Linked DNA regions of Mus musculus. The protein of the gene in region 4 purifies or fractionates together with the protein of the main gene of each other region. This does not show direct contact. Links are inferred from orthologs where the notes say so. Each region holds a gene or a part of one and is shown on either strand. Other genes may lie near its edges. The genes, in order: Flnb, Hspb1, Vcp and Isg15.

Region 1 (6,216 bases), on a different chromosome or scaffold from region 4:
AACTAAACAAAACTCTCAATGTTGGGATAGCGCCTAGGGTGGGACCAACTTCTGATAAACCACAAATGTGAGCAAACAAATAGCCATGGCTGTCTTTCAGAAGTTATTGGCAGATATGTCACTGGCCTCTGGCAGCTGCTGACCATCTCATGTCTCACAGCTGGGTTTACGGACATGATTCTAAAGGTTCTCACAGTGTAAACTGTTGGGCGTTAGCCACGGTGTACAGCGATGCTCTGAATTCATCCAATAAGCATCCCCCGTTATGGAGTAAACATGAGCCCCCGGAGAACAAGAATGCTCAATAAAACGCCACCAATGGAGACAGCAGCTATTCCTCAACAGTCAACCAACCGCAAGACAAAACACCTCCTGACAGTTACAACATTTAATTCCAGGAGATGTCATCACAGCTCAGAGGATTAATCTTGCCTCTCTCTCATCAAAGACCCCCATGATCCCTACCTACTGCGTCTGAGGCTAAGGTTCAGACTGTGGATATCCAGCTTCAACACCCTGGAACTGCAAAGTGTAAGTAAGCTCTACCAACCCTTCTATGCAGGGAAGAGGAAGGGAGGCTGTATTGGCTCTCTGACACTAGAAAGAAATCCACTCGAAGTTCAAATTCAATAGCTTGGCAATCATGCATTCTGGGCTCCGTGGGCTTCCTAGCCCTGTTGCCTCTAGAATTTGGTTCATTTCTGTTTCCTGTCTTTTTAAGTAGGAAACACTAATACTAACAACAGCATCATTAACAACAGCAACTGCTTTCTAAGTAACATGTGGCAGCCTAGGACAGAACTCAACCCCTGCCTGACCCTCTAGGGGACTGTTAGAGAAGATCATTATCAGAAGGACATTAATTGATATCAATTGATTGATTATCCTGGCTATTCAATGGGAACAGTCAACAGAACATACAGTGGGTGGCCCTAGTAAAAACTGTCATGGCAAGCACAAGACAACACACGCGAACCAAGGTCCAAGCCAGATGACATTTTTTTTGGGCTGGTCATTACCTATGACATCTATCCCTAGGCCTAGGCTCCATTTCTTCCTGCAGCAGTCTGGGCCCCTGGCAAGATGGATAGGTCTCCAGAGGCTGGAAAACCTGTTTGCTGAGAGATCTTTCTGGAAAGCAATAGGGAGGCTAGGGAGGAGTTGTATGTGGTCACACCCTCTAACCTAGGAATACTACTCTGGGGAATATGATCCAAGAAGTATTTTAAAGAGACAAATCAAACAGTACAACTTGTGAAGGACTACTGACACAGCTGGCCATGGGTAACAGATGAATGGAAGATAACTGTGAGATGTTAGGCAATGGGGGGCTCAGGCCTCAGCAGGTTCGAGTGGAAATCATGAGGACCAATTAGAAAACTGTGAGGGACCACCAGGCAAGGCCAGAATGAGACCCACAAGCTTGGAGGAGCATGGCTGGGAGCAGCAGCCCACGAGTAAACAGCTAGTCAATTAGGAAGTCCTTGATTTTCTGGGGCTGTGATTTCTTTTCTTTCTTTTCTCCTTCTCCTTCTCCTCCTCCTCTTCCTCTTCCTCCTCCTCCTCCTCCTCCTCCTCCTCTTCCTCCTCCTTCTCCTTCTTCTTCTTCTAAAAGCAGTTCTGTCAGGTTTAACTCCTGGTTTAATTTAATTTTCTTTGTTGAGTTAATGAAATACATATAGCATTTAAAACAATGGATGAAGGCAAGTCCAGCTCAGCCAGGCAGGCTTTGAAAATCACTCTTCATAGGAAAGTAGAGTTCCTGTAGAATTCTGAGGTCCTCCCTCCTCAATAAAAGAGATGCCCACCCCCCATGTGATGCACCCCTGGCAGCTTCCTCCACTGAGAACCCACCCCTGGGAGGGAGAGCTTGCTGGGAGGCAGGCTGGTAGCTAGCGGCCTGGCCCCAGGAAGTAGCAAGCGCATCTACCTGCCAGCACAGGTGTGGGGAAAGTCCAGGGCGAGGCCAGGAGGAGGCTCAGTCCAGAGGGAACCCCTTTCCACTAGAGAAAGTCCCAGAAGCCACACCCACCTTCCTTCCTTTCTGTCACTGGAGTCACTAGAATGGCCTTGCTTCCTCAGGAAGAAACCTCAGCCCTAAGAATCCCTTTCACGAAGTGCACACATCCTCTACATAATACTTTGCACACCCACTGTGTACGGAAAAAAAAAACTTTCATAAATAGATGCTATATGTGCACACACGAATGCCTACGGGGGCAAACAAGTGAGCCCGGGCATAATACACACCTCCCTTGTCCATCACAAAACACATTCTCAAGAGCCCTGTTTTCTCTTTAGAAGCCTAAAGTACTCGAGGTCTTAATTCTCTCACCCAAGGCGGGAGGAAAAAAGCAGGACTCAAACTCTCTCAGGAAGACCCAGGAAAAGGGGGTGGGGACTGCTTTACTTCTAAGTTGGACCACATTGGAGGTGGCCCTGGGAACGTCAATTAGCCCGGTAAACGTCCCCTCTTCTGTAAAATGGGCCTAAGAACATCTCAGGCCACCGGACGTCAATAACTCAGAGAGCCACACAGCCAGCGCCAGTCAAGCCCTTTTCTACACACATTAATTATTATCAACCACTAAATTATCTCAACCTGAAGGAACCGGCCAGCGCTGAGCCAGAGCTAGGAAGTGAGGACATTCCCCTGTGACGCCCCTTCCAACCTCAGAGCCCACACCCATTCCGGTCTAAGAAGGGGAGGGTCTCAGGTCCTCGTCTCCACCTAGGTGGTGAGATCCTAAGCAAGAGAGCGGTCGCGGTCGCGTCCTAGGTCTCCACGCCCAGACTCGAAGCCAACGCCCTTTCAGCCGGGCGGGTCACTCAGCTCTAGGCGCACCTGGCTAGCGTAAAGTAGGGATTTGGTACTTGAGTCCACGGCGTTGTCATTAGGGTCAGCAGACGATTTCCCCAGCAATCCCAGGAGTTCCCGCAAATTAAATTCCAGGTGTGACTGGAAGGTCTGAGTGCTTAACCCACCCCAACACTGCAGCGGCACCGCCAGGAGCACCGTGTCGAGCAATCACGCCAGGTCCCAGCCCACAGATGGCACCGCGGAAAGGCCTATGTTCCTAGGTCCTCATCCCAGGACCATCTCCCCCTCCCTCACACCCGGGAAGCGATGCGCAGTGGGGCGCGCTGCCGGATACCCCCCGATTACTGCAAATTTAGGGCCTGGCCACAACACTCACCAATGGACACGAGCTTAATGCTTTCGTGGTCTAGGAACTCCAGAGCCACAGACACATTCTCCAGCTTCATCTGTCTGAAGGTGGGCCGCTGATGGTACTTGTGGTGCATGCGCTTCTGGCTGAGCACCTCGAGCAGCGCGATGAGCCGTAGCCCGTCGCTCAGGTCGGTCTGCAGGTTCCCGATGCGTTTATTCACACACTTGAGGTGCTCGTTGCACCAGCGCGTGAACGTGTTCTGCTGAATCTTCTTCCACGGCGCGTCCTCCGCCAGGTCTTTCTCCGTCACCGGCATCCTGGAGGCAGAGAGTACGCGGAAACAACGAGCTGCAGGGACTGAGATGAAAAGCCCCAAGGGCCCGGGGAAGGGGAACTGAGGCAAGTGGGGAGAGGGTTAGAAAGCGCTGCTATACTAGCCGCAACAGGATCAGGACTGCCTTCGTCCGTCCCCGGGCGCGAAGTAGCCTGGCCTGGCGCCTGCGCGCTACGCCGCCCCGCCCCCGAGGCTCCGCCCCGTTTCTACCCTATAGAAGCGAACTCCTTAGCTGCGCTCGCCCTCTACGGTCCAAAGCCTGCATTACGCCGGAGGGTAGGGTGGGGTGGTGCTTCCTAAGTATCCCCAACCTGATGTACTGCCCAGCAAGGAGAAAGTAACTTGGGAAAGGCCTAGAATAAGGGCACACGAGGAGGCGGGGGACTAGCCTAGAAGGAATGGTTGCGTCAAGAGGGAATATGCCACCCATCTATAGGTTCAGTGAGAGGAAAGTGTTTTTCTCAGAGTCTGCACGTAAATTAGACACGTTGATTTCTAAATGAAAAGGAACTCAGAGCTGGGCGTGGTGGCGCATGCCTTTAATCCCAGCACTTGGGAGGCCGAGGCAGGCGGATTTCTGAGTTCGAGGCCAATCTGGTCTCCAGAGTGAGTTCCAGAACAGCCAGGGCTACACAGAGAAACCCTGTCTCGAAAAAACAAAAACAAAACAAAACAAAACAAAAAAGAAAGAAAGAAAAGGAACTCAGCCTTAAAGTCCAATACCACGTCCATCTGAGTAGCAGTAGTGAAAACGAACTGTTTTCTATGGCTATTAGAAGTTTTTTGCTGGTGTAACACAGATTTCCTGTCTTGCATGTCAGTAAGTTAGATGTCCCGTCTGGGGTTCATTGGCCCAAGGCATTTCTTGCTGGAGCTTCTGGGAAATAATCTGCTCCTTTGCCGTGCCAGATTCTAGACGCTAGGTGCATGTGTTGGCTTACGATGCCTTTCTTGTCTTCAAAGCCGGTAAAACAAGGCACAGATACCTTTTTCACCCTGTCATCTCCTCAGTTCTCCATAGTCAGGTCTTCCTAGAACTCTCTTGAAGACCCTGTTGACTGTATTAGGCAAATTGATTAGTCCAGAAGATCTTGTTATGTTTTATTTTTTTTAACTATGATGGCCAAGAAAGGGCCGGATAAATGGGTCATGGCACCTACTGACCGGTGTCCCTCTTCTCTTCCCTTTGCCTGAGAATTCAGTTCCTTTCTCTCCACATCCCAAGCCTGGTAGCCCTCAGCTCAGCTTGGCTGTCTCCCCCCTGGCCCCCCAGTGTCGAGGAGCAGATGGAGATCTAAGGTCTCGAAGAAACTGAAGATACGTGTCTGACATGAATGATATCTGTTCCATGCTGGTCTGCATACCCCAGCAAGAGGTCTAGAGTGATCTCAACTACAGCTGAGTACCTGGTGTAGAATTGCCATATGAGATGTAGACGACAGATGAGTGAGTGGGTGAATGGATGGATGTGTGCTTGCAGACTGAGGGGGGCAGCCTTCATCCTGCATGCAGAATCAACTGGGGTGTGGGACACCCATCGTGTGAGACCTACAGCCTGACATTTCAGGCCTGAAGAATCTACATCCTGTCCCTGCCCTGGGTGGGGTGTTTGCTCTACTCATTTCCACAAAGCAATTAACTGCAAACATATCAATCCAAGGAGATTGATACTAGAAAGCCCAACAGTCCTTCCTGCCTTATAAGGAAGCTCTTGTCACTGACCTCTGCTGGTTCAGGCTCCCAGTGTCTGCTCTCATTCCAGCTTTTATACTTTCCTTTGGTATGGAAGAAACAGTAATAATACTAGGAGAACACCTCACAGTTTATCTTAGTGACTTAGCTTTCTGAGTCCTTATACACCCAGGGAGCGAACCTGGATCCTTAACTTCATTTTCGTTTGCTTGCCATTTTCCTTGTCCATAACATCAGATCTAATTATCTCTCCAGATTGAACTCCTGAGAGTGGGTGTGGGGGGACCTTTGCCACACAGAACTTGGCTCACTTACCCCTTCCTCCTGGAGGGAAACGTCAGCTATCTACAGGGTGTCACTAGACCATGCAACCGTACAGTCGAGTACAGAACAATAGGGCAAAGCTTCTGGTCCTATATAAATACAGGTTGTATATGTGTATATAATTACCTGTCGGTGCATAAAATACCTCTGGGATGATTCATAAGCAAACAGTAACCAAATTCATAGCCAACATTACGTTGGCGAGACAGAGTCCTTATACACCCATTTTCTTTCTTTTCTCAAGATTTATTTATTGTATGTATATTTATTTATTTAATGTCTATGAGTACACTAGCTGTCTTCAGACACACCAGAAGAGGGCATCAGATCCCATTAGAGATGGTTGTGAGCCACCATGTGGCTGCTGGGAATTGAACTCAGGACCTCTGGAAGAGCAGTCAGTGCTCTTACCCGCAGAGCCATCCCGCCAGCCTGGGAGAGGTATTTTCTTTTCTGCAGTGTGCTCAGTCGTGTGCAGCTCCCCTCCCCCAAACAGGGTCTCATATAGTTCATGTGAGCCTCAAACTCCTCATGTAGCCAAGATGGCCTTTGAACTTTTGATCCTCCTGTTTCCACCTCCTATGTGCTAAGATTGCCAGCATGTATATCACAGTGGCCTTAGAATTTTTTAAAGTCAATTAAATTAATATTTGTAAAATTCAGATTTCAAGTTGGAGGTGAACTCAGTGACTG
Region 2 (5,749 bases), on a different chromosome or scaffold from region 4:
TTCTGCAGGTGTCTGTGGGTGGGGTTGACAGGGGCAACACCCCAGGAAGCTACCTTGAATTGCCACATCTCCTGTACCTTCTCTACAATACTCCTCCTCCTCCACACCTGGCCTCTGGACAATGCTGTTTTTAATAGTATTTTAAATTTGTATTTGTTTATTTTGTGGTATTGATAGAGTTTCAAAACAGTTGGGTTTGGAATGTGCTATATAGCCAAGGCTGTCCTTCAACTCCTGATCTTGCAACCTAATGCCTCCTAAATGCTGGGAGTACAGGTGTGAACTAGGGCATAAACTGAGGGTCCCGGCACGAGATGTATAAAGTAAGGCATGACCCATGCAAGGCACGGCTGAGGAGAAAGATTTTATTGTAGATATAGGGGGAGGAGACCAGCCAGAGGCAGCTGGAAGAGTCCAGAGCAGGGAGAGAAATTAGCAGATTGGCCACGGCCTGTGGACTGGACCCGCCCATGAGGTAGGGGTGAGGGGGAGCAAGAGAGAGAGTGAGGCAGAGTGTGGACAGACCAAGGGAGGAAAGAGGGTGTACAGTCAACTAGGAAGGTTAAAGAGAGGCTAGGGAGGGAAGCTGCGCTGAGGTTAGTGTAGGGGGTGGGAGAGGAGCTGGGCTAATACGGAGGAAGCCTGGAGGCTAGCCTGCACTTTGATATGCTAGTAGGGACAGTGGAGAAGTAAATTTCTCTGTTCATAGAGAACAGGACCAGAGGCTGGGAGAGAGGGGGTTGCTTTGGATCTGACTGGCTCTTGATCCTTTTTTTTTTTTTTTTTTTACTCTTAAGATATTTTCATGTGAAAAAAAAAAAAAGATGTTTTCATGTGTCCCAGGCTGGCCTCAAACTAGCCATGTAGCCCAGGATAACCTTGAACTCCTTTCTGATCCTTTCTCCACTTCTGGAGGGCGCCACCATACCCAGTTTATCCAATGCGGGGGATCAAACATTACTTCACGGATGCCATGCAAACCCTCTACTGAGCTTCTGTTTTGTTTTGCTCTTCTGTTTGTTTTTGAGACAGCAAGTACATGTGTGGCCCAGGCACTCATAGAACTCACCCTGTAGCCCAGGCTGGCTTCAAATTCACACTGCTTTTGCATCCGTTTTTGGATACTGGAATTACAGGAGATGTAATTATACCATCATTATACCCAGCCTGGTAAACTTTTTTTTTTTTTTAAGATTTATTTATTTATTATTATATGTACGTATACCGTAACTGCCTTCAGATGCACCAGAAGAGGGTGTCAGACCTCATCACGGGTGGTTGTGAGCCACCATGTGGTTGCTGGGATTTGAACTCAGGACCTTCGGAAGAGCAGTCAGTGCTCTTACCCGCTGAGCCACCTTTCCAGCCCCCCTGGTAAACTTTTAATCTCCAGGTTATCTCTTTTCCCACAGGAAGGGCCTGAGCCCATAGTGAGCACTTAGCAAAGACCCCAAAGGGTGTTCCAATTTAGCACACCCATCCCTAGCCCACCATAATAACTCTGGAGTCAGACGGTGGTGAGCAGTAGCTTGCAACTTTTATTTGAGAAAAACAGCAGGTAAATGTATGTATCAAAAGAGCGCACAGATTGACAGAGAGGGGTGGCCAGCAATGGCTATGGGAGATAGGCAGCAGGCTGATGGCTTCTACTTGGCTCCAGACTGTTCAGACTTCCCAGCTTCTGGGCCCCCAATTTGGGCGCGGGCCTCGAAAGTAACCGGAATGGTGATCTCCGCTGACTGCGTGACTGCTTTGGGCAACGGAGCCTCCACGGTAAGTGTGCCCTCAGGGGATAGGGAAGAGGACACTAGGGTGGGGTCCACACCTGGAGGGAGCCTGGACACACAGAAAATCAGGGCAAGGGTTACACATCCCTCCTGACCCGGGGCTCTTCGCCCTCCGCCCTGGGTCCGCTCCCCCTCCCCCCCACCTCCCCGCCCTCCATGCAAGGAATCAGAACTCACGTGTATTTCCGGGTGAAGCACCGAGAGATGTAGCCATGTTCGTCCTGCCTTTCTTCGTGCTTGCCTGTGGGTGGGGACAGAAGGTCAGAAGCAGCCCTCTGCTGTCCTAGCTAAGGAGTGGCTGGGACCCCCCAGGGAGGCAAACAAACCCGAGTGCGGCGGGGTGCCTGACTGTCTGGAATCTTAAAACTTTCCAGAAACTTCCCTTCTGAGATTTGGGATGCGAAGGGCTTGGCTCTGACCCAGACTTGGATACCAGGGTAGGTATACTCAAAGCCTCTGCGGCTGGGTCTAGGGACCCTGATCCTGCCGCTTGCTTATTTGGGAATGAGGTCTTCCAGAAGGTGTGTTGGGTCTTCCTTCATTTTGTTTCTGTGCTGCGGGTGGAACGCAAAGCCTCAAGGCCTCCCGGCAGGCCAGGCGAAGCTCTACCCTGAGCTACATCCCCAGCTGTTGGTCCATATCATCGAAGATGACAGAGCTTTTAAGAGCAACCTGCACCCCGCGTTCCGGGGCAAGAGAAGCAGGCAAAGGAGAATGATGCGGGCTCCGGGTCCCTAGGTTCATTTCTAACTTCTCAGGGTTCTATTCCTCAGGGTTTCAGCCCCCACCCTCAGCCCCCCAGCCACCACTCTCGCCTCGGCAGCTTCGTCCCCTCTGGGCACAAGGGAAACTCACCAGTGATCTCCACCACGCCTTCCTTGGTCTTCACTGTGAGCTCCTCCGGAGCGAAGTGGTTGACGTCCAGGGACACGCGCCAGCGATCAGCCGTCTGTCGGATCTCCGAGACCCCGCTGCTGAGCTGTCGGTTGAGCGCTCGGCTGAAGGCTGGTGCGGCCAGGGTCACCGCCGCGGGGCCCTCGGCGGTCGCGGCGGGCAGCGGGCGCACGTATCCGGGCCACCCAGCGGCGCTGAACCACTGCGACCACTCATCGGGCAACCGGGGCACCCCGAAAGCTTGATCGAAGAGGCGGCTGTGTGCAGGGTACCAGTCCCGGAATGGTTCCCAGCTCGGGCTCCGCAGCAGCGAGAAGGGCACGCGGCGCTCGGTCATGTTCTTGGCTGGTCAAGGCTGAGGATCTAGAAGCACTGGGCTGAGGATCCGAGAAGTGCCGGACTGGAGCCCCAGCGTGCTTTTATGTGTGCCCAGCCGGGTATTTTTAGCAGGCGGTGCTTCAGGTCTCTATTAATGGCAATGACCGTCTCAGGGGCCGCCCCTCGCCGCCCCTCCCCTCTGCATTCCTCCCCCTAAGCTTGCAAAGGGGGCGGGCAGGCGGGGCCAGGAAGGTTCTGCCCCCATCTGGAAACTTCTCTTGTTGAAGAAAACAAATGACGGCGTAATACCGGTAGCTGGAGCGATTCCCACTGTCGGGTTTAGGACACTGCTGGCTGAAGGGCGGTGGCCTGGGGCCAGCCCCATTTTTTATTGAGAATAACCAGGAGAGGTTAGGTCTTTTGTGTCGCAACTGGGAAGCAACTGAACCTGGTCTGAACCAGAAGGAGGCCCGTGGGAACACACATGTCATGGCACACCTGTGGAGGTCTCATGACACCGGCAAGATAGCTGTCTTCTATAGTGTATCTCCTGGGGAGCAAAGGCTTCGTGGCAGGCGCCTTAGTGTTCACTGAGTATCTTTCTGACCCAGAAACTGACTTTCTTTCTTCTTTCTCTCTTTCTCTCTCCTCTCTCCTCTCTCTCTCTCTCTCTCTCTCTCTCTCTCTCTCTCTCTGAAGTAGGATTTTTCTTTTTTTATTTTGATGCTTTTTTTTTGTTTTGTTTTGCTTTGCTTTTTTTTTTTTTTTTTTTTTTTTTTTTCTGAAGACAATGTTTCTCTGCATAGCCCTGGTTGTCCTGGAACTCACTTTGTAGACCAGGCTGGCCTCGAATTCAGAAACCCGCCTGCCTCTGCCTCCCAAGTGCTGGGATTAAAGGTGTGCATCACCACCGCTGGGCTATTTGATGCTTTTTTTTTTTTTTTTTTTTTTGGTTTTTCGAGACAGGGTTTCTCTGTATAGCCCTGGCTGTCCTGGAATTCACTTTGTAGACCAGGCTGGCCTCGAACTCAGAAATCCACCTGCCCGTGCCTCCGGAGTGCTGGGATTAAAGGCGTGCCCCACCACACCCGGCCGCTTTTTTTTTTTATTATATATATATATATATATATATATATATATATATATATATATATAATGTGTATCAGTGTTTTGCCTACATGAATGTCTGTGTGAGAGTGTTAGATCTTGAGTTACAGAGAGTATCAGAAATTGGAATGCCAGGTGGGTGCTAGAATTTGAACCTGGATACTTGTACTGGCTGGTTTAGTGTCAAATTGATACAAGCTGGAGTTATCACAGAGAAAGGAGCCTCCTTTGAGGAAATACCTCCATGAGATCCAGCTATAAGGCATTTTCTCAATTAGAGATCGGGGGGGGGGGGGCATTGTGGGTGGAGCCATTCTTGGGCTGGTAGTCTTGGTTCTATAAGAGAGCAAGCTGGGCCAGGTGGTGGTGGTGCACGACTTTAATCCCAGCACTTGGGAGGCAGAGGCAGGTGGGTTTCTGAGTTCGAGGCCAGCCTGGTCTACAGAGTGAGTTCCAGGACAGCCAGGGCTATACAGAGAAACACTGTCTAGAAAAGACCCCCCCCCAAAAAAAAAGAGAGAGAGAGAAAGAGAGCGAGAGAACAAGCTGAGCAAGCCAGGGGAAGCAAGCCAGTGAGAAACATCCCTCCATGGCCTCTGCATCAGCTCCTGCTTTCTGACCTGCTTAATTCCAGTCCTGACTTCCTTTGGTGATGAACAGCAATGTGGAAAGTGTCCGCTGAATAAACCCTTTCCTCCCCAACTTGCTTCTTGGTTATGATGTTTGTGCAGGAATAGAAATCCTGACTAAGACAGTACTATAGGAAGGGCAGGCAGTGCCTCTAACCATTAGACCATCTCTCAGGAGACATCGAACCTGGAACCTGCAAGCTGGATGAGTAGGTATCCCCTAGTATCCTCCTGGTTCTGCAACTGCCCCACCCCAGCGCTTGCTCGGACAGGAGGCACAGGCCACACTCAGCTCTTTTTTGGTTTTGTTTTCTGTGTGGTTGTGGCTGTTCTAGAACTCTTTAGACTAAGCTGGCCTGGATCTCACAGATTGGCCTGCCTCTTCCTCCAGAGAGCCCGGCTTAAAGGCAAGCAGCATCACATGGGGCCACCCTCAGTTTTTATGTGGGTTGCTGTGTGTTAAGTACAAAAGAAACTGGGGTCAAAGGGCTATCTGTGGTGTCTATTAGCATACCAAAGAGCACCCTGGCCTGGGGGCTCATGGCAATAGGAATACTCTTCTCAGCCCTTCTCACCCTGTCCCTTACCCCAAACTTCTCCAGCTCTTGGGGCTCCCCTCTCCCAGCTTCTCATCCCTGTATGTGCTCTCTTGGTCCTCTCTTCCTCATCCCTCTCTCTTGGTCCTCTCTCCCTCATCTCTCTCTTGGTTCTCTCTCTCTCTCTCACATCCCTCTCTCTTGGTTTTCTTTGCCTCATCTCTCTTTGCTTTGTTTGTTTTTTGTTTTTTTGAGACAGGATTTCTCTGTATAGCCCCTGCTGTCCTGGAACTCACTCTGTAGACCAGGCTGGCCTCGAACTCAGAAATCCGCCTGCCTCTGCCTCCCGAGTGCTGGGGTTAAATGCGTGTGCCACCACCACCCGGCTCTCTCTCAACTATTGTCCATGCCCAATCTGCCCGCCATATCAGTTCTGGACTCTTGCAGATGCCCCCGGCTGTACTCTCTCATCATGTCC
Region 3 (5,767 bases), about 110 Mb from region 4:
CCAATCCATCTGTCTTCAAACTCATAGATAGATAAGCCTTTAATCCCAGCACTTGGGAGGCAGAGGCAGGCAACTATCTATGAGTTTGGGTTTTTTTGTTTTTGTTTTTTTGTTTGTTTTTCGACTCAGGGTCTCTCTGTATAGCCCTCGCTGTCCTGGAACTCACTTTGTAGACCAGGCTGGCCTCGAACACAGAAATCCGCCTGCCTCTGCCTCTATGGATGTGTTTTTATCCTCTTATGTATCTCTTTTTACTGTATGTTCTTTGTTTTGTGCCTGGTATTCTTGTGATACTAGGAGATGCTCTAGGTTCATCAGGTTTATTTGGGGGTGGGGGGGCGGTGGATACGGCTAAGAATTGTGTTCTGTTGTTCTGAGGCTTGCTTGGTTAAGCATAGTCTCTTAATTCCCTTGGAAAACAGGCAGTAAGAGAAGAACTTAAGGGCTGGAGATACGGCTCAGTGGTTAAGAGCACTGACTGCTCTTCCAAAGGACCTGAGTTCAAATCCCAGCAACCACATGATGACTCACAACCATCAGTAATGAGATCTGATGCCCTCTTCTGGAGTGTCTGAAGACAGCTATAGTGTACTTACATATAACATATAAATCTTTTAAAAAAAAAACTTCTTTAAAGCTCTAGAATTGATCATGATGATCATGTATGAGACATTATGAAAACATTTACATTTTTTTTGTCTCAAAATGTAAGAATGAATATTGAGAGGTCTTACAGTCTCCATTTTACAAATGAAGAAATCAAAGTCCAACCAGGTTAATTAACTTAAGTGAGATCACAATTAAGTATGGTCAGAGTTGGAATTTAGACCTAATTGGTCTTGTTGTAGAGCCCTGTTCTGTAGAGTCTAAGAGTCTATAAGACTAATTTTTTTTTATTGGTTGCTTTTGAGCCTTTACTTTTGTTATATCTTTTAATATTCTTTGGCCAGTTTCCCTATGTTGGCATAGGATCCCTGGGGCTAACAGATTGGAATAGCAGCACTCAAAATACTAAGATGTGGAATGGGAATGAAATAAATGCTGGCTACGTTCATCATGAGTTTATCTGGATTTCTTTTAGCTTTGTCTATCCATTCTTTCCTTAGTGAATCTTAGTGTTGGTGGTCAGTATCTATTAGGTCTAACTTTAGTTTTTCCTTCTAGTTCAAAAGGTGATGATTTATCAACAGCCATTCTCAAACAGAAGAACCGACCCAATCGGTTAATTGTTGATGAAGCCATCAATGAAGATAACAGCGTGGTGTCCTTGTCCCAGGTAAGTTGGGTGTCCGGTCCAGTCTTTACTTAAGTAGAGAGATTTTCCGGCTTTCTTTTGCCATTTTTCTTGCAGTGAGGGATAAAGTGGGGTTTATATGGAATTCTAGCCTATCTAACGGTCAGTGACCCAAAGTCCTTAGCCTTTGGTTTTTCTTTCTTAGCCCAAGATGGATGAACTGCAGTTGTTCCGAGGTGACACGGTGTTGCTAAAAGGAAAGAAAAGACGGGAAGCTGTATGCATTGTTCTTTCTGATGACACGTGTTCTGATGAGAAGATTCGAATGAATAGAGTTGTTCGGAATAACCTCCGAGTTCGCCTAGGAGATGTCATCAGGTTTGTATGAAAGTGGGAGATATAGATCCTTGGTCTCTTAGAAATGAGACCAGAACCGGGCAGTGGTGGCGCACGCCTTTAATCCCAGCACTTGGGAGGCAGAGGCAGGCGGATTTCTGAGTTCGAGGCCAGCCTGGTCTACAGAATGAGTTCTAGGACAGCCAGGGTTACACAGAGAAACCCTGTTTCTAAAAAAAAACCAGTAAATAAATAAATGAATAAATAAATATTTAAAAAAGGGAAATGAGACCAGATAGAATCTGCATTATAGACACCGTCTCCCCCCTGCATTGCAACCAGGATGGAATTCTAGGCAGCTGCAGAAATAAATGCACATGGTCATGGGAATATTTCCAGGGTTGTGTGTAGGTTGCACTGCCTTTCTAGACTTGAGACTCCACCCCTGCACGGTCCTTAGGACAAATGGCTTGCTAGCTAGCTTCCTTCCTTCCTTTTTTTTTAAGATTTATTTATTTCATTTATATGAGTACACTGTCCACTGTCTTCAGACACATCAGAAGAGGGCATTGGATCCCGTTACAGATGTGGTTGTGAGCCATCATGTGATTGCTGGGAATTGAACTCAGGACCTCTGAAAGAGCAAGCAGCCAGTGCTCTTAACTGCAGAGCCATTTTCCAGCCCACATATGGCTTTCTTGATGCCTTTTAAAATGTTTTTCCAACTGGGGAGTATAATTCCTCATAACTGGATTGGAGACGTTATATGAGGATATATAGCTACTAAATGATACACAGATGTATCTACACTATATCTAATGATCATAATGCTGTGACTGCTTAATGGCTTGTAATGGTGCTGAAATAAAGTAGAAATGTGAATAGGAAGGAATTCTTTTAAAAATAAGTAAACCTGGGGCTGGAGAGATGGCTCAGCAGTTAAGAGCACTGACTGCTCTTCTGGAGGTCCTGAGTTCAAATCCCAGCAACCACATAGTGGCTCGATACCATCTGTAATGGGATCTGATGCCCTCTTCTGGTGTGTCTGAAGATAGCTACAGTGTACTTAGATATATAATAAATAAATCTTTAGAAAAAATAAAATAAAAAAAATAAGTAAACCTAATCCTGGCTTGGTGGTGGTGCATACCTTTAATTCCAGCACTTGGGTGACAGAGACTGGTGAGTCTCTGAGTTCAGGCTAACATGGTTTGTATAGTGAGAGCCTGTCTCCAAAAGGCAAAACAGATAATAAACCTAGTGGGGAGGAGCATAGTTTATAATTTGACTAGGACTGCTGTGGTATGAGTGATTTTTGGTTGTACCCAGTTAGGTATGAGGCTTCCAGAATTTGTAGTTATCTGGCCAGGACTATTCAGTCTCTGAAATCTTTTTAATGAAGTCTTACTATGTTTTAAGTACTTTCTTCTTTAGACTACCTAGCTTTCTCATGGTGTTTTGATACTGTAGTTGAGTTCCCCCACCCCCACCCCAAGACAGGGTTTCTCTGTGTAGCCCTGGCTGTCCTGGAACTCACTCTGTAGACCAGCCTGGCCTCGAACTCAGAAATTTGCCTGCCTCTGCCTCCCAAGTGCTGGGATTAAAGGCATGTGCCGCCACTGCCCGGCCAGAGATTATTAATTTTTGATTGAGTTGTAAAACCTTGTTCCCCCTCCTCCCGGTAATACTGGAATATTAATATTAACTAGAAGACTAGACATGGTAGCACATACTACTTATTCACAGTAATCTCAGTTCTGAGAGACAGGAGATGGTTGACACTAGCTAGAAAGGATTATCATTGTTGAATCTTCCGTATTGAAGACTCCAGTGGTAGTACCGTGCATATGTGGGGCTTCCAAGTATTCTTAATTTTGGCTTAGTAATGGGGGGGCTTCTGCTACCTCATCGTGAATGTGACCTGTCTTAGTGTGCTTGGCTGCTCCTTTGCCTTCTCTCCCACCCTGCTTTCCTCCTCCTCTTCACCTAAGGCCATCCCTGCCTTTTCTCTTTCGCTTGCCATCAGCTGTCTGTGCCAGGCCCTTTCGGACACCCAGTGCTTGGGGCTGCAGTGTGGTTGGTAATGTGGAGTCTGCTTGTCATCCTCAGCATCCAGCCATGCCCTGATGTAAAGTATGGCAAACGTATCCACGTTCTACCCATCGATGACACAGTGGAAGGCATCACTGGCAATCTCTTTGAGGTATACCTTAAGCCGTACTTCCTGGAAGCTTATCGGCCCATCCGTAAAGGTGAGAGAAACTGAGTTTAAGAACAGTTGTTACTTGAGTAAACTTTGGAACAATTCCATGTTATTTTCCTATATAGATATAGCCTGCACACATATTCAGTTGTCTGCTCTCTTACCTCCCTTCAGTGCTCTAGGATAGTAAGCAGTTCTCATGCCTCTCTGAAGGATAATGTGGTTGCTGTCAAGTTGAAAGTGTACAGCTCTACCATTGTTGGTTGTAGTGAAAGCTTAGGCTGTTTATAACAGGAGTATAATACAGAGTTGTTTTTTAGTATTGCCTGGGGTAGGGAAGGAAGGCATAAGTAATAGCTACTGAGCTTTGTATTTTAGATCATGCGGTCTAGTGAAGAAGTTTCTGGTCCTGTACTTGACACCTCTAATTGCACTTGTATTGCTTTGTATTATAGGAGATATTTTTCTTGTCCGGGGTGGGATGCGTGCTGTGGAGTTCAAAGTTGTAGAGACAGATCCCAGCCCTTACTGTATTGTTGCTCCAGACACAGTGATCCACTGTGAGGGGGAGCCAATCAAGCGAGAGGTGAGTTACTCCCTAATCCCAGTTCACGGTTTTATTTGGCTTTTTATTTGTGGTGCTGAGACTTGAACCCAGGGCCTTGTGCATGTTAGGTAAGTACTCTGCCCCTGAATTACATCCTCATCTCCCAAATCATTACCACTCAGGTAGTATTCATGTTGTGTATCAAAATGAATACTTTTGGAGATTGGATGGCCTTAAATTAATGGAAGTCGAAAACCACCTAAGAATTTCTTGAAAGAACCCAATCCCATGAGTTTAAGATGAAGTCTGAAAGATGTAAATGATTGGCACTGAGTGTGGTGGCATATGCCAATAATCCTAATGCTTAGGAGGTGGAGGTGGGAATATTGTTTTAAGTTTGAGTCTAGAATGATGGTCTCTGAAGTGATGGGCTGTGGTTTGGTGGTTAAGAGCACTGGCTGGGGGCTGGTGAGATGGCTCAGTGGGTAAGAGCACCCGACTGCTCTTCCGAAGGTCCGAAGTTCAAATCCCAGCAACCACATGGTGGCACACAACCACCCGTAATGAGATCCGATGCCCTCTTCTGGTGCATCTGAAGACAGCTACAGTGTACTTTACATATAATAAATAAATAAATACATTTAAAAAAAAAAAAAAAAAAGAGCACTGGCTGTTCTTCAAGGGGACCTGGGTTCAATTCCCAGCACTCACATGGCTATATTTGATCATGTTCCTATCACACTCCACTTCCTTTTGTTTGTTTTTGAGACAGGGTCTCACTATGTTATTCTGTCTGGCCTGGAACTCACAGTGATCTGCCTGCTTTTGCCTCCCAAGATGGAATTAAAGGCATGTGCCACTGTGTGCAAAATTCTACTGATCCCCCTCAAAGGTCTCCCTATTCTCATAACTTTTTTTTCAAACCTTTATTTACATGAATGGGTAGTGTACATACGTGTGTGTCTATACGCCATGTCCATGTTGGCTCCCCTGAGACCTGAGTTACAGACAGTTGTGAGCTGTCATGTGGGTACTGGGAATTGAACTCACGTCTTCTGGAAGAGCAACCAGTGCTCTTAACCCCTAAGCCATCTCTCCAGCACCCCCCCCCCCTTTTGGTGGCCCACTCAGTTTATTTAGAATTGATCATGTAGGGGGGAGGTTATTGAACAGCTATAGCTTACCAGTGGCTATACCACCACTAAGGAATATTCTGTATTCCAGCTCCTCAGTGCCAGACTGCTTGTCTGGCACACACCAACCACTCGGGAGGTAGAACTCAGTCTGGTTTTTTCCAAATGGAAAACAGTGGAGTTTGGAACTACTGCTGTGGTTTCTGGTCTCCTGTGTACCCAGGCACCACTGGTGTGCCACATCCACTTGCCAGGCAGGAAGGGGAAGGCAGCACCTGGGATGGGTGGAACCCAGTTTGATCCTGAATGAGTGC
Region 4 (5,395 bases):
TCCTCAGCCGAACAGCATTTGCTCATGGGCAGCGTTGTTTCCAGCAAGGAGCCTGAAACTAACACAGAGGTCTGGGAACAAGCTTGGGTAGAAAGATGAACCAACACCAGACACCGAGACTAGAGAGGGGTCAACTGGTCCTGGTCACCTGATAAGTGACATCAACTGATATCACAGGGCAGCGGAAGGACGACTTCGTGCAGTGTAAGGATAAGGATATCAGTGGTGACAGAAACCAGATGGGATGATGTCATGGTGCCAGTGATGTATCCTGAATTACCCCACCGCTAAGTTCAGCCAAGAAGAACTCAAAAACTTAGGGCAAGTGAGGCACAGCCGCACGTGCCTTTAATGTAGCATTCAAGAGGCAGAGACAGAAAGAGCTCCGTGAGTTCGAGGCCTGCCTGGTCTACAGAGTAAGTCCCAGCACAGCCAGGGTTACATAGTGAGACCCTGTCTCAAAACACACACACACACACACCAAATTTTTTTTCCAAAGGAAAATAAGAAAAACAGGGCCATTATTATTTTAATGGTTGCTATTGTTTTCATTCTGAGTTACACTGCTATACATACAGACATTTTGTACTCAGGTTACTAAGCACAGCGTAGCCTGGCAGCTGCCTCCATTCAATGGAGGTGGCCTGAGACCACAGGAGGGGCTAGACACCCTACTGGTGGTCCTACTTCTTTAATTTTCTTTAAATATTGGGCTGGAAAGATGGCTATGTGGAAAGTGATTGAAGAAAACATTCAACATTAATCTCTGACATGTATAAGCACACATATGCATGCATATAAGCAAAATAAAGAAAGAAAGAAAATTTATATATTCAGTTCCTTCTTCTAAATTTCTAATTTCCTGCACTCACATATACACAATCCCCCCCCCCCAAATACACTGTATCCACATAATTAAAACTAAACCTTAAAAAAAAAAATCTAAGCCAGGCAGTGGTGGCACATACCTTTAATTCCAGCTCTTGGGAGGCAGAGGCAGGCAGATTTCTGAGTTTGAGGCCAGCCTGGTCTACAGTGTGAGTTACAGCCAGAAGGACAACCAGGGCTATACAGAGAAACCCTGTCTCAAAAAACAAAAAACAAACAAACAAAAAAAAAACAAAAAAAAAAAAACAAAAACAAAAACAAACCAAAAAAACAAAAACAAACAAACAAAAAAAAAACCAAAACTGAGTACTAAGTATATAACTCAATTGTTAGAGTACTTACTTAGCATGCATGAAGCTCTGGGTTCTGTTCCCAGAACTGCAGAAAATGGCACAGAAGATGAATCACTAAAATCTCAGAACATGAGCAGGAGAAACAGAAGGACCAGTTTAAGGCCAATTTTAAAGTGAGTTTGAAGCCAGCATGGACTACATAGCAAAGACTACTTCAAAAACAAACTCATCTGACTCAATGTATCTTGATGTGAGCAATACTTTGTTTGTTCTCTTGGCTTTTCAAGACAGAGTCTTGGTGCTTGTTCTGTAGACCAGGCTAGCCCTGAACTCAGACATCCACCTGCCTCTGCTTCCCCGGTGCTGGGATCAAAGGTGTGCGCCCTGGCCCAGCTACAATAGGGTCTTAATAAACTGTTCTAGGACAGAAATGCTTCCTACAAGCCCCTCCCCCCCAAAAAAAAACTATTGTTCTAAACTAATAACCAATAGCAGTTGTCTTTGGGCAATTCTGATTGGTACTATGTTATGCAGTTTCTGAATTATTATGCCATTTTCCAAGACAACTAATTTCCAAGCTAACAAACGACAAATACATTTTCTATTATTCGTTCCTATTCTGACTTTTACATGCCTTGTGAAGGACCTGAAGGGCGTTTAGGGAGTTTTAGAGCACACAGGCCTGGTTACAGCTTTGACCCTTGAGAGCCAGTCCCTTTCCTTCCCAACTACAGTTTCTTTTCATTCAGTTTTGGTTTTCCCACTCATTTAAGGTATGCCGTAGGAAAAGGAAACCGAAACAGAAAATAGCTCTGGTTTCTGGAAACTCCGCCTCTTCACACCCACAGCTCATACTTAAAAGAGTCGACCCAGTCTCTGACTCTGAGAGTCGATCCAGTCTCTGACTGTGAGAGCAAGCAGCCAGAAGCAGACTCCTTAATTCCAGGGGACCTAGAGCTAGAGCCTGCAGCAATGGTGAGTCCAATTTGGGACAGAGGCAGATGGGTTTCATTTTAGTTGACTTTACTCCATTCCTTGATAGGGTCTTCCAGAGACAGAATAGTCACAGTATGAGAACAGAATATAATTGTTTAAAGCTCACTCCTGGGGGGCGGGGGGGGGGCAGGTTCTTTTGCTCAGATACCAGCTCTAGATCCCTTAAGGCTGGGCCCAGAAGGCTATCTTTATGGGTGAACTGAAACAATGTGATGGTTGTGGGACCCTTTAGAACCGAGGCCTCCGTATCATATACCTGGATGGTTCCCCTAATAGAGGAGAGGATGGGGTGGGGGTGGGGGGGGACATGGATGGACGTGGGGGCTGGCCCTGTGACTGGTGCTTTGCATGTAGTAACTCCCAGCCAAAGTTGCTAAGCCGGTGGTTCTCAGCCAAAGGATTCAGGAACCTTTTGGGGGCCTGAATGACCTTCTGACAGGAGTCGCATATCAGATATCCTGCATATAGCAAAACCAGTTATGAAGTAGTGATGAAAGCAGTTTTATGGTTGGGGGTCACTACAACTCCAGGAGCTGTATTAAAGAATGGAAACATTTTATTAGAGTCATAGCATTAGGAGGGTTGAGAACCACTCCTAAATCCATGTGATGCTTGCAGGCCTGGGACCTAAAGGTGAAGATGCTGGGGGGTAACGATTTCCTGGTGTCCGTGACTAACTCCATGACGGTGTCAGAACTGAAGAAGCAGATTGCCCAGAAGATTGGTGTGCCGGCTTTCCAGCAGCGCCTGGCCCACCAAACTGCAGTGCTCCAGGACGGTCTTACCCTTTCCAGTCTGGGTCTGGGTCCCAGCAGCACAGTGATGCTAGTGGTACAGAACTGCAGCGAGCCTCTGAGCATCCTGGTGAGGAACGAAAGGGGCCACAGCAACATCTATGAGGTCTTTCTGACGCAGACTGTAGACACGCTTAAGAAGAAGGTGTCCCAGCGGGAACAAGTCCACGAAGACCAGTTCTGGCTGAGCTTCGAGGGAAGGCCCATGGAGGACAAGGAGCTGCTGGGGGAGTATGGCCTAAAGCCCCAGTGCACAGTGATCAAGCATTTGCGCCTGAGGGGTGGGGGAGGGGACCAGTGTGCCTAAGGCCCCCATCCAGAGCCAGTGTTGGTTATAAAAGATGATGGGGGGGGGGGTATGGAGGACTTTTGGGATAGCATTGGAAATGTAAACGAGGAAAATACCTAATTAGAAAAAATATCAAAAAAAAAAAAAGATGATGCAATAAAAAGCTCTGCCTCTTGTTTGCTTGTCCCTCTCCAGAAATGCCCTTCTATCCATGGTGAGAAGGCTCTGGGTTGCCAAGTTAAGAGACAAGGATTTCACAGTGAGAGCCTAGTGAGGAAATGCCCCTTCCAGACCCTTTGAGTAATTAATTCACTTCTGGAGAAAGACACTTTTGCTGGGACCCAGTCCTTAGTCTCAGCCAGGCCCTAAAAATGTCCCCATGTCTACATATGGCTCAGGGACAGGTTAGGCCAGTTTCTACCAGTAGCAGGATGAGGCTCCTAATGGAACCAGTGAACTGCTGAGATCCTTTGGGAACAGTGAAGGAATGTTCTTACCTGGGTAAGCTGTGAAGGAGGGTGATGTGTTCTTTTGTATGTGTTCCTAGTCCCACCTGCACTAGTTCACAGAGGGTAGGATGGGGTCTCACCATTCAAATCAGCCACCTGCTGTTTAGGACATGGTAGTTAGCAAGTACACCTCATCCTCATCGGGGCTATAAAGAGGCCACTATAGGCAGGTTAGATGGGCACAAGTAATTGGAGGCTCATCTGTCCACAAAGGACATCATGTCTCAGATAGGAGGCACCCAATTTGAAAAAGCTTCACCCCCCTTTCTGCCTGATGGCTCTTTGTCTTTTCCTCTATCAGCTTACTCGGGCCTTTGAGTGCGCTTAGGGCACAAGCAAGTCAGTACAAGTCCTTCTGTGGTCCTTCAGACCTTTAAGAGAATTTGAGTGGAACCTCAGAAGACCCCCTTCTGGTTGGTGTGTTTGTGCTTATCTGGATTAGGTGATGCCAGATCTAGCAACGCTGGAGCCCACTGTGTAGATGCGACCTCAAATCTGGGTCCAGAAGGTGGAGTCTTTCTCAGGAGGAAGAGCTGCTGACACTCACACTTCACTCTGGCTTCTGGCTCAACAGCCTATGGAAGATAGCATAGTGTCTTCTCTCGTTTTTTTTTTGTTTTTTTTTTTTTCCAAAATTTTTTTCTTCACTTACATTTCAAATGCTATCCAGAAAATCCCCTATCCCCCCCCCCCCCACCCATTCTCTCGGTTTGTTTGTTTTGTTTTTGGTTTTTTGAGACAGGGTTTCTCTGTGTAGCCCTGGCTGTCCTGGAACTCACTTTGTAGACCAGGCTGGCCTCGAACTCAGAAATCCACCTGCCTCTGCCTCCCGAGTGCGCCACCACCGCCCTGCGCGTTCTTTCAACCTCCTGTAGGTCTAGTGCTAGCTTGGCTCCCGGGGGCCTCGGTTTATATCCTGCACTTAGCCAGGCCAAGCTGGGGAAGCTCTGGTCCACAGAGGGAGAGACGGAGGGGGCGGGGACGGTTCTGTAGCAAGACTGGAGAAGACTTAAGTCCACAAGGAGCATCACACTGGGCGGGTCTGGGCGCATTCGGCACAGTCACCGCTGACCGGCCATCGGCAGGGGGCGTGGCCTGTGGTGGCACCGGGACAGCCGCGGGGCCCTCTGCGCGCAGCCCTAGCGTCAGGCTGGGGAAGGGAAGGTCCGGCTCCGCCAGCGTCTCCTGTGCAGACCGGGCGAGCCCCTTGGAATTCCCAGCACGTCGCCCCTCGATTATACATCAACCTGACTTCAGCTGCATTTCCCGGTGGGAGGACAGTTCAGGCGGACGGGGGAGGGGCCCCGGCGCGACGCCTCCCCCTCCCCCAAGGCGGCCACCCACCCACCCACCCGGCCGAGCCCCCGCCCCAGCTCGGCGGGCGCCGCAGTCTCCGGGCTTTGTTCGCTGCCCGCGCGGGTCGCAGGGAGCGGGGGGCGGGCTGAGCCCTCAGGGGGCGGGGCGGGGCCGCCAGTCCCCGCCCAGTCCCCGCCCCGTCCCCGCCCAGTCCCCGCCCCACCCACGCCGTCCCCGCCCCGTCCCCGCCCAGTCCCCGCCCCACCCACGCCGTCCGCCCTCCCTCCTCCTCCGCCGCGCTGCGGTCCAGTCCTGCCCCCCGAGCGGTCC

What was found.
Region 1: the proteins of Isg15 (region 4) and Flnb purify together in Homo sapiens (affinity purification with mass spectrometry; 3 studies listed by BioGRID and IntAct, with this or other methods). This does not show direct contact. The link is inferred for Mus musculus from reciprocal best matches to the Homo sapiens genes ISG15 and FLNB.
Region 2: the proteins of Isg15 (region 4) and Hspb1 purify together in Homo sapiens (affinity purification with mass spectrometry; 3 studies listed by BioGRID, with this or other methods). This does not show direct contact. The link is inferred for Mus musculus from reciprocal best matches to the Homo sapiens genes ISG15 and HSPB1.
Region 3: the proteins of Isg15 (region 4) and Vcp purify together in Homo sapiens (affinity purification with mass spectrometry, with the first as the bait; 3 studies listed by BioGRID). This does not show direct contact. The link is inferred for Mus musculus from reciprocal best matches to the Homo sapiens genes ISG15 and VCP.

Annotation. Positions count from the first base shown.
Region 1 is NC_000080.6:7,815,425-7,821,640, reverse strand, and holds the start of Flnb (filamin-B), read right to left. Parts: upstream 3,685-6,216; 5' UTR 3,490-3,684; coding exon 3,198-3,489; intron 1-3,197. UniProt on the Homo sapiens protein: Connects cell membrane constituents to the actin cytoskeleton. May promote orthogonal branching of actin filaments and links actin filaments to membrane glycoproteins. Anchors various transmembrane proteins to the actin cytoskeleton.
Region 2 is NC_000071.6:135,885,328-135,891,076, reverse strand, and holds Hspb1 (heat shock protein beta-1), read right to left. Parts: upstream 3,159-5,749; 5' UTR 3,019-3,158; coding exon 2,643-3,018; intron 2,029-2,642; coding exon 1,965-2,028; intron 1,837-1,964; coding exon 1,647-1,836; 3' UTR 1,514-1,646; downstream 1-1,513. UniProt on the Homo sapiens protein: Small heat shock protein which functions as a molecular chaperone probably maintaining denatured proteins in a folding-competent state. Plays a role in stress resistance and actin organization.
Region 3 is NC_000070.6:42,991,741-42,997,507, reverse strand, and holds part of Vcp (transitional endoplasmic reticulum ATPase), read left to right. Parts: intron 1-1,164; coding exon 1,165-1,276; intron 1,277-1,439; coding exon 1,440-1,612; intron 1,613-3,679; coding exon 3,680-3,822; intron 3,823-4,228; coding exon 4,229-4,359; intron 4,360-5,767. UniProt on the Homo sapiens protein: Necessary for the fragmentation of Golgi stacks during mitosis and for their reassembly after mitosis. Involved in the formation of the transitional endoplasmic reticulum (tER).
Region 4 is NC_000070.6:156,197,467-156,202,861, reverse strand, and holds Isg15 (ubiquitin-like protein ISG15), read left to right. Parts: upstream 1-2,043; 5' UTR 2,044-2,153; coding exon 2,154-2,156; intron 2,157-2,795; coding exon 2,796-3,278; 3' UTR 3,279-3,438; downstream 3,439-5,395.